Drosophila melanogaster: one gene and its partner. The protein of the gene in region 1 interacts with the protein of each later gene in a pairwise test. Each region holds a gene or a part of one and is shown in the gene's direction. Other genes may lie near its edges.

What was found.
Region 2: the proteins of Vps51 (region 1) and Prx4 interact in a two-hybrid assay, tested with the Drosophila melanogaster proteins (one large-scale study listed by BioGRID).

The regions. Positions count from the first base shown.
Region 1 is NT_033778.4:18,707,517-18,712,971, reverse strand, and holds Vps51 (vacuolar protein sorting 51), read left to right. Parts: upstream 1-2,106; 5' UTR 2,107-2,196; coding exon 2,197-2,277; intron 2,278-2,353; coding exon 2,354-3,105; intron 3,106-3,165; coding exon 3,166-3,802; intron 3,803-3,854; coding exon 3,855-4,385; intron 4,386-4,437; coding exon 4,438-4,550; intron 4,551-4,606; coding exon 4,607-4,715; 3' UTR 4,716-4,820; downstream 4,821-5,455. Other genes in the region: CG15073 (uncharacterized protein), read right to left, coding at 4,950-5,455. UniProt on the Drosophila melanogaster protein: May act as a component of the GARP complex that is involved in retrograde transport from early and late endosomes to the trans-Golgi network (TGN).
Region 2 is NT_037436.4:3,040,388-3,044,735, forward strand, and holds Prx4 (peroxiredoxin 4), read left to right. Parts: upstream 1-1,971; 5' UTR 1,972-2,063; intron 2,064-2,162; exon of another isoform or gene 2,163-2,385; intron 2,386-2,657; 5' UTR 2,658-2,664; coding exon 2,665-2,818; intron 2,819-2,884; coding exon 2,885-3,002; intron 3,003-3,053; coding exon 3,054-3,459; intron 3,460-3,517; coding exon 3,518-3,568; 3' UTR 3,569-3,787; downstream 3,788-4,348.

The DNA.
Region 1 (5,455 bases):
GCTACGCCACACCCCACCTGCCACCCACGGCCCACTCCAATGCCGTACATATAATCCGTTTAAAATGAGCACTGGCTGTGTGCTCCAGTTTCCGCTGCTCCTGCTTTTGAGTGCACTGAAATTAATTTAACGACTTGGCGCACTTCAAACTGCACAAAACATATTAGTGGGCCGAACGTGGGTGGTGTGCACAGCTTTCTCTGTGCCGCACGCAGAAGTGAGAAGGGGAGCAGGAGTGGGGTGGGGGAGAAAGTGAGGTGTGGAAAACCTGGGACAATGGCAACTTGACCTTGACACGTTCGACGCTTTCCGCCGCCCTCACGTCCTTCAGCTTTTCACTTTTTTTTTTTGTTATATTTCGCTCGGCTTACGTAAATTCAATTTTCAGTTTGATGAAAGCAAAGTTCATGCCACACACAAGCGCGAGTGTGTGACACACTGTCCCACTGTCGGTCTTTTCTTTTTTTGTTTGTCTAACCTTTAAGAAGACCATTGCAATTAAAAGTTTTAGTTTTCAATCATAGAAATGATTTGGAATATGAATAATGGTTATTCATTACAAACATATAATAGCATAGTGTGTTGCGAATTAGGATCCTCATCAAACTCCTCATTGCTATACATTTTTCTCAGTGCACATGATACAAGTTTGGAGGCTGATGGCATTGGAGAGCGTGTGATTTGCACAATCTGCACACAACTCGAAATTAAATTCGGCCCCGGCAACAGCTCGAACTTTTTTGCGAAAGGTCAAAATGTTAATGTATTTGAAATGAGACGCCACAAAGGAACGAGAGCGAAAGGAGCCCAGGATAAAATATAGTGCGAATGGTGGGAAAATTACGGGGAATGCTGCAGGGCCAGCAGCCGAAAAGCGAGACTCAGATGCGAGATACAGCAGCACAGGGAACTTTAGGCCCTCGGAATGTGGCAAAAACTTGTCCATGTTCATTCAACTTGACACGGTCGCCAGCGGGCAGACGAACTCCCACCGAAATAAAAAAGGACGCACCAAGAAGTACAAACAACTGCTACATATTTATGCCACGACACTGAAAATACCCATTACAAAAAATGATTTAATGATGTTTAAAAGATATTAAAACTGTAACATAGGGCAATTCAGAATTCAGAAGAATATATCTTTCAATAAGCGTTACATAGTTAATCGCAGTTTCGAAATACCCAACGACAGGGTATAAGACCTTAACAAAAAAGATGTCTGGTAGTGTGGAGGCGGTGGGCGTGGAATGTTTAATGCGATTTGCCACACGTAACTCAGTCTGGGGAGACTGTTGAATTACTTAGGATACAGAAGCCCACATCGTGTTCTACTTTTGTGCTTTATTGAGCCAGGTGATATACAAAGTTATTTGCCATGATTTGGGTCCAAAATGCACAGCATTGTCACGGGGTCCGTTAAGCAATCTACAAAATGTTTAAGTAATTAGGTACATTAGTTAACTAACATTTTGTTGTTACTAACCAGCAGTCACAAATGAGCTGCACAGAGCTGCAATTAATGCGGAAACAAAGAGTAATAGCTTCATGTTGTGATTGCTTTAATAAAACCTTTTACATTAATGCCATTTATGAAAAACAAACAAGTATTTTCTTATCAGTTTGAAATGGGAGATTCCCAATAACAAAGCCGCGATTAGAATAAAAATGACAGAGAGCTTTGCAAACTAAGATAATCTCAGTTCACGTCTCTCACGATTTAATACCAATTCATCACACACCTATGTGCCTAAAAATAAAAACAAAAAGAAAAAACAATAAAAAAGATAATAAAATAATATATTTAATAAAGACACTAACTTTATAAATACTCAGAAAAATATTAAAAATTAAAATTCTTTCAATATAATGCCATAGCAGTACTATTCTGCATTAACATTTAACTGTCTAAATTATTATTCACTTAATAATATAATAATAATATAATAATATTTCTATTTAATTTAAAATAAAAAGTTGCTAAACGCGCACCGTTCAAAAAATGATTGTGTGGCGGTATTGGATATCGATAACAATATTGGTAGTCAGCTGTTAAATGAGGGAAACATTTTTCGTTGCCCAACACACCTTAACTTATCGATATACGAAAAAAACGATAAATCTTCAGCAACAACAAGTTCACAACATTTAGTTTATTTATTTATTTAGACTAGTGGTAAAAAAAAGTTCTACAAAATGGCTGAAACCAAAGCCAATCCCTTCGACATGGACAGCTCCAGCTTCGATGCGGAAAAGTATCTGGAAAGGTTGCTCAAGGTAAGAACAACAAAATAGTGAAGTAATAATCATTAACTTATGCACTTTTTGTTCTGGCTGTTACTCACAAATAAAGGATTGCTCCTTAAAGCAAATAATGGATACGGAGGCGGCGGTGGTCAAGGACACACAGACATTGCACTCTGATATGCAGACGCTGGTCTACGAGAATTACAACAAATTCATCTCCGCCACGGATACAATTCGCCGGATGAAAGATGACTTCAAGCAGATGGAAACGGATGTGAACCTACTGATGACCAAGATGCAATCCATAACGACTTTTAGTGAGCAAATAACCGGAACGCTGCAGGGCACCAGATCGCAACTATGTCGCCTGTCCGAGAAACACTCGCTCCTCAAAAGGCTGCAGTTTCTCTCAACTCTGCCAGCTAAACTGAAGTCCCTCATCGAGGAACAGAACTACGCACAAGCTGTCCAGGACTACCTGCATGCCCAGAAGGTGTTCGCCCAGTACGGTCGACAGCCGTCCTTCGATGGAATCCAGCGAGATTGCGACGCCATCATGGCAGATCTCAAGGAGCAATTGCGAAGTGACTTTCAAAGGGCTGGGAACACGGCCCAATCCTTGACGGAAATTGGAGAGCTACTCCTGCAGCTGGACGAAAAGACTTCGGATCTGGCAAGCGAAATGCTGACTTGCGCTGGCAAACGACTGCACGAGCAAATCGTCATGCTGCAGGATCAAACAGAGCGTGATATGCTGGAGTTTGTGGACATGGGCATCGATGGTTTCCTCAACGATCTGGCACTGGTAGTGACTTCCTACTTTGACATGTTTGTGGCCAAGCACTACGAGCATGAGCGGTAAATTGAACAATATTTTGTATAATCTTAATTGAGTTTTATTATCCATTCCATTTTCAGCGATGACTTTCAGGAGAACGCCCTGCAGGAGCTAAATGTCTTCCTCAATCAGAACATCGAAAAGTATCTGACACTCGTCCAGGATCGTGTTGAGTCCGACATTGGCTACGGCGATACCCAGGTAATGCTACGCGCTCTGGATCGACTTCATCGGCGCCTTCAGGCCATGCGAAATATCTGCCGCGGCTTGGAGGTCCAACGCAACACAGTATCTATCATTATTTCGGCTGCCCACCAACTATGCGATGCCCATGCCAAAAACCTCAAAGATCACTTTGCCGACAGTTTGAGTGCGGTTCGTCTGTCGCTGGTTTCTGCCAAGAGCGATGCAGCTGCTGGTCTCAATCTCGGTGATCTGATAAGCAACCTTTATGTGTCCATGGTGGAGAAAATAAAGGGTGTACTGCAGGACTTGCTTATATTCCTGCGCACCGACTGGTCGTTTAACATCAAGGCGGAACACAAGGGCGCCCTGTGCGTAGAGGGCATTCGGGAGAACCTACTCATTGGCTTCCTACGTCATATTGCCAAGGTGATGTGTGGTTTCGGAGATGCCTCCAGCTCCAGTCCACCCAATCTACTGCTGGTGCTGTCGAAAACGTGTCTGGAACTCGAGCAACAGGGCGTTCACATACTGGTGAGCTTTCTATTGCAACTATTTTTGATTCCCTAACAAACTAAATCCTCAGATTGCTCTGGTTGATGACCTGTACGAAATCGACTCGGAGAACAGTGCAACGCTTACCCACGAAACTGAGATATGTGCTGAAATGCGGGAGACGGCACAGTCACTATTGGACGCCTATGTGCGGCTGCAGGGCACCAATATCTCGCAAATGTTACGCAAGAGCGTGGAAACAAGGGATTGGCTTAACTGCCTGGAACCACGATCCGTTCGTGCGGTGATGAAGCGTGTGGTGGAGGAACTCGGCAGCATCGAGACGGTGGTGGCCAGTCTGTACGAGGCAAACACTAATGCAACGTCAGGATTCCGCACCACAGCGAGCAGTGACTCTAGCCGAAAAACATATTTCAGTAACTTTGCTTCCACCTCAAAGCCACAGTATCGTTCCAATTGGTCAAACTACACGCCTTCGCAGCTGGAATCCAGCTATGTGTCCAACATACATCGCTTGTTTTCGGAGCGAGTGGAAATCTTTACTTCAGTAGAGTTCACCAAGGCCTCAATTATAATGGGAATTATTAAAATTGGTCTAAAAGTAAGTGAGTTTATGAAATGAAGGTGGCTATTTACGTGATTTATGTTTCTAGACCCTTTTGGAATGCGTGAGGCTGAGAACTTTTAGCAAATTCGGACTTCAGCAGATTCAGGTGGATGCTCATTATCTGCAAATGAACCTATGGCGATTTGTAAGCGATGAAAAGTGAGTTAGTTTCGAAAACTGAAAGATATGATAAACTAAACACACTTGTTTGGCAGTCTGGTGAACTTCCTGCTGGACGAGATTCTTGGCTCAGCTGTGCAAAGGTGCTTGGAGTCCGTTTTAATGGAGCCCAATGCTGTGGAAATTATTTGTGAACGGGGTTAGTATTTGTTTCCACAACATAAAGCAACATTCCACTTAAAATCTCCGTCTATTTTGTTAAACGCTGCTAGCTTAAGGATCTAAAAATAAACACCCTGTTTCTAATTTAGATAGTTATTTAAAATGTCTAGGAAATTGACTTCATTTTTTTTTTGTTAGAAAAATCTTTCAAATTCCAATTCTGCCATTTTTTAACTGTGCTGGTTACGGGTACACCAAATGTAACAGAAATCATTTTCAATCTGTGGTATCGGCACTGAGACACAGAGTGAACTCGATGGTATCTCCCTTAATATCCTCCTCGGTATTTGTCAGCAGAATGCTGTGGGATTCCCCATCTTCGCCCGTTGAGATGGTCAACACGCTGGGTGTCTCCTCCTCGATGGCTTTTCGTTTCTCGGTGCGTGCCTTCCTTGCCTCCTCGAACTCTTTGGGATGACACTTCCTACGATGCGTGTGCTGATTCGCATTGGAGTTAAATGTTTTCGGGCAGTGAGGACACTTGTAAAGCACCTCGCCCGTATGCATGGTCATGTGTTCCCTCAGTGTGATGGCCTTTTTGAAGGCTTTATTGCACACACTACATTCGTGCTTCCTATCCGTGAGATGCACATATCGCTGGTGACTCAGCATGGCACTCCTATTGGGCGAAACCTTTCCACACAGATCGCAAGTGGCAGCAGTGCCATTATGTCGCCGCACATGCTTCTTGAGACTGTGCTTGTTCTTATGCCAGGATCCGC
Region 2 (4,348 bases), on another chromosome or scaffold:
AGAAACTGTTTACACACTGTGAAATAAGTTGAATTTTTGACTTTAAAGCTAAAAATAAAGGGTTTTTTGCTTAATTAAACGCAATTTTTTTATAAAATATAATTAAACAATATTTATTTTACTTATAAATCAAAAAACAAATTAAAAATATTAAATATACAAGAAAATAAACAACAAATTCCAAGTTTACACACTTTTGAGACTGTCAAGAAACTCTTTACACAAAACACTAAATCGAAGTTTAATCCTAAATTTTTTAATTATTTTATTAAAATTTTAAAAGTTTTGGTATGTAGTATGTTCCCCATTGGCTTTAGCTACAAGTTGAAGCCTTTTTTTCATGGATTGGACAAGTTTTTGCAGGTCATATTCAAACGGGATCTTTTCACACTCTTCGACTATTACAGTCATAAGCTGTTGTTGTGTTTTAGGTCCCTTTTTGCCACCTTCTTCTTTAAGTAGGTCCACAAATTTTCAATGGGGTTCAGATCAGGACTCTGAGGGGGCGTATCGATCACTTTACCACAGTTATTAAGGCGCCAGGTGCGTACATTGCACTCTTTATGTTTCTGATCATGTCCTGGTAAAACTTAAGATTTGGCTTGTTGTTGCTAACTAGACCGAATTTTTCTGCACTGGCCTTCAAATTTGTTTTTTAACATTTCTAGATATTGCACGGCAGTTATTGTGCTCTCAATTAAGGCTAGTTTTCCCACTCCACGGCTGGTGATACAGCCCCAAACCATCAGTGACATTTTTCCAAATTTTATCGTTGGAATGATATTTTGTTTTTCTAGCGCACTCAACGGTTTGCGCCATACTCTGCTTGGCCCGTCGTTATAAAAGAGCATCATTTTTGTTTCGTCACAAAATATGACGTCATCCCAGTACTCTTCCGCATGATCCATCATGCTCACAGCGAATTAATGACGCTTTTCCATATTGGCATCTGATAGCAAAGGGTTTTTCCTTGCAAATCTTGAAGAGTACCTATGGCGTAGGATGACTTGGCGCACAGTTTCGTGTGACACAGTTAGGTGGCATTCTTGCCTGATATCCAGAGCAAGTGATCTGACCGAGATTCGGGGGTTCGCAATCACTATTCGCATAATAAAGCGGTCTACACGCTTTTTAATTTTAATTTTCCGCCCACCACCGCTCTTAGGTTCAAGCCTGCCCTCTTTTTCCGAGCCTTTTAAAACATTGTAGACGGTCTTACGGGATACAGGAAACATTTATACTAATTCTGGAAAAGATTTTCCCAACTGGTGGTTATAGTTTATTAATTGGGTAACTTCAAAAGTTAATCTCTTTCCAGGCATTTTATTAAATTTAATAATTCGCTTTAAGCACGTTTGATCAGCAAAATTTCACAAGCAAAGTCAACAAAATTTCAATAGAAGCGTTGTAAAAAGCAATGCAAAGCCAAAAATAACGGAAAAATCGAGTTCGTTCTAAGAAAAAGAACAAAACAAAGTAGGAAAACAAAATGTGTAAAGAGTTTCTTGACAGTCTCAAAAGTGTGTAAACTTGGAATTTGTTGTTTATTTTCTTGTATATTTAATATTTTTAATTTGTTTTTTGATTTATAAGTAAAATAAATATTGTTTAATTATATTTTATAAAAAAATTGCGTTTAATTAAGCAAAAAACCCTTTATTTTTAGCTTTAAAGTCAAAAATTCAACTTATTTCACAGTGTGTAAACAGTTTCTTGACAAACTGTATATATTTTAATAAAGTTTATAGCGTAAGTAAAAGTTAACTGAGAAAGTGTTTTTTACTTAAAAAAAATTGGATAGATCATAGCATGGCCATACATCGCTTTTGATTCGCCAATGCAGCACAGATATTTTTTCTAAAATAATATTCTTTCAAAATTGCAGTTACGCGTTAATATGAAATGAAAATTCAAATATTTCATAATGAAATTTATGTTGGCAATGCTGAACTATGCATTGGTGTCGGAACGACAGTATGGTATTTTTGCGTATTACGGTCACACCAATGCCGGCAGAACAATTTGTTATTAAAACAAAAAGAGTTAATTATAGCGCTTAAAAGGTAACAGCTGTGCGTTTGCATTGTTGCTTAATGCAAGCAAGTTAACTACCCTGCAACTAAAAATAAATATTCAAATCGGAGCTAGGCAATCGCATTGGCATTGGAATTTTAGTAGTTTTGTAAACTATATTTGTTTAAATCGGTTACACGCTGACAACTATAAATTATAATAGCAGTGAAGTGAATGAAATTGATAAGCTTATCTTTTCGGAAGCGCAGCAACAATAAGCGCGTTCCACCAAAATCAATTGAAGTTCTGCCCGTTGAAATAGTTACTTTTTTGACTGCGTGGCTACAAGTTGTGGGCGTGTTCGAATTTTGGGTATGTGCGTACAGTAGAGACTGGCTGACACGGACGGAACAAGGATTTAGTACATAGAAGGAGTATCTTTTCTTTGAAGTTTAGTTTTGTTCCTAATTAACATTCAAAATTATATATCTTTACATAATTTACAAAATTAAAGATAGTTGGGCGACCACTGTACACAGATTTATTATAAATATAAAGAGCGGCAATAATTGTAAAGGCCGCGTGTAATAAATAGCGTATAAACCGAATCCAATAGCCATATACGTACGTGGATCTCGTTTCAGCCCAATCATGTCCAAGTACTTATCTGTCCTACTGCTGTCCGCGGCACTCGTTGGAGCTGCCAAGCCGGAAGATAATGAATCGTGCTATTCCTTCGCCGGCGGCTCCGTTTATCCCGACCAGCCGAAGGGCGACCATCAGCTGCAGTACACCAAGGCAGTCAGTGAGTTCCATTGGATGCAAAAAACCAGGGATCACTATTAAGTTGCTGCTACCCTTATTTCCCCAGTTTCCAAGCCAGCTCCGCAGTTCGAGGGCACCGCCGTGGTTAATAAGGAGATTGTGAAGCTATCATTGTCCCAGTATCTAGGGAAATATGTGGTGCTACTCTTCTACCCACTGGACTTGTAAGTTTACATTTACATTTAGTATGATCGCATTTCTCATTGCCATTTTAGCACCTTTGTATGCCCAACGGAGATCATTGCCTTCTCCGACCGCATCGCCGAGTTCAAGAAGATCAAGACCGAGGTGATTGGCGTCAGCGTGGACTCGCACTTCACCCACTTGGCCTGGATAAACACGCCGCGCAAGGAGGGCGGCCTGGGCGACGTGAAGATCCCACTGCTCTCCGATCTAACGCATAAGATCAGCAAGGACTACGGAGTCTACTTGGAGTCCAGCGGTCATGCGCTGCGCGGTCTCTTCATTATCGATCAGACCGGAGTGCTGCGACAGATCACCATGAATGATTTGCCCGTGGGACGCTCTGTGGACGAGACTATTCGTCTGGTTCAGGCCTTCCAGTATACGGACACCCATGGAGAGGTTTGCCCAGCAGGTTGGCGGCCAGGTGCCGATACGGTAGGTTTTTTGAAGCATTGCCTTAGGTAAATTCTTTTTGATACCATTACCTTTACAGATCGTTCCCAATCCTGAGGAGAAGACGAAGTACTTTGCCAAGAACAACTAGGGACAGATAGAGATGCACATTACCTTAGTAGCCTAGCCCAGTTACATTCCTAATGTTCACGACTGAATCACGATGCAAACGAACAATCGCTAGAGTCCTCTGTACAGAAAATCCAAATCCGCAATGCCACCGATTGTGAATATTTCGCATTTGCTTTGTACAAAACATAGTTTGTTTATTTTACAGCATAACTGAGATATAAATAAATTCATGAAGTACATGTGAAGGTGATGAAAATTGCGCGGCGCCACAGGAGCGGTACCAAAAAGGAGGAGATGTTTTCGATCTCAAAATGCCTTGAAAGCTGGCTCACTAGGCCACTCTAATGGGTAACAATTCGATTGCAATTAGTTTCATACAAAAATATATGTAATATGTAATATGTAGTAGGTAAAAGGTAATAGTAAATTAGTTAGGTACGCCATGGTTGCAATTAAGTTATCCTGTGCTCCGACCTATGCGTACAACAAAGCTAGGTCTGTCGAGGTATATAAATCTGGGGAAACGGGACGGGGGCGACGACAATAACTAGGACGTCATAAGGCACTCGTTCTCGTCGGATTCTTCGTGTGTAGTCTGCTTTCTGTTTTCCGTTTTGTGCGTTTGTCAGTAAGTGCTTCATTGTGGTGAGCTTTAAATGCCAAAACCGAGGTTCATAAAATAACGAAGGTGCAACTGCGGTTCAGATCCAAGTTGTGCGGGAGATTCCTTTGCTGCGGAGATTCCGTATCGATCAAAGCGTTGCACTGTTCAGATTCCCGGAAACGTTAATCAAATAAG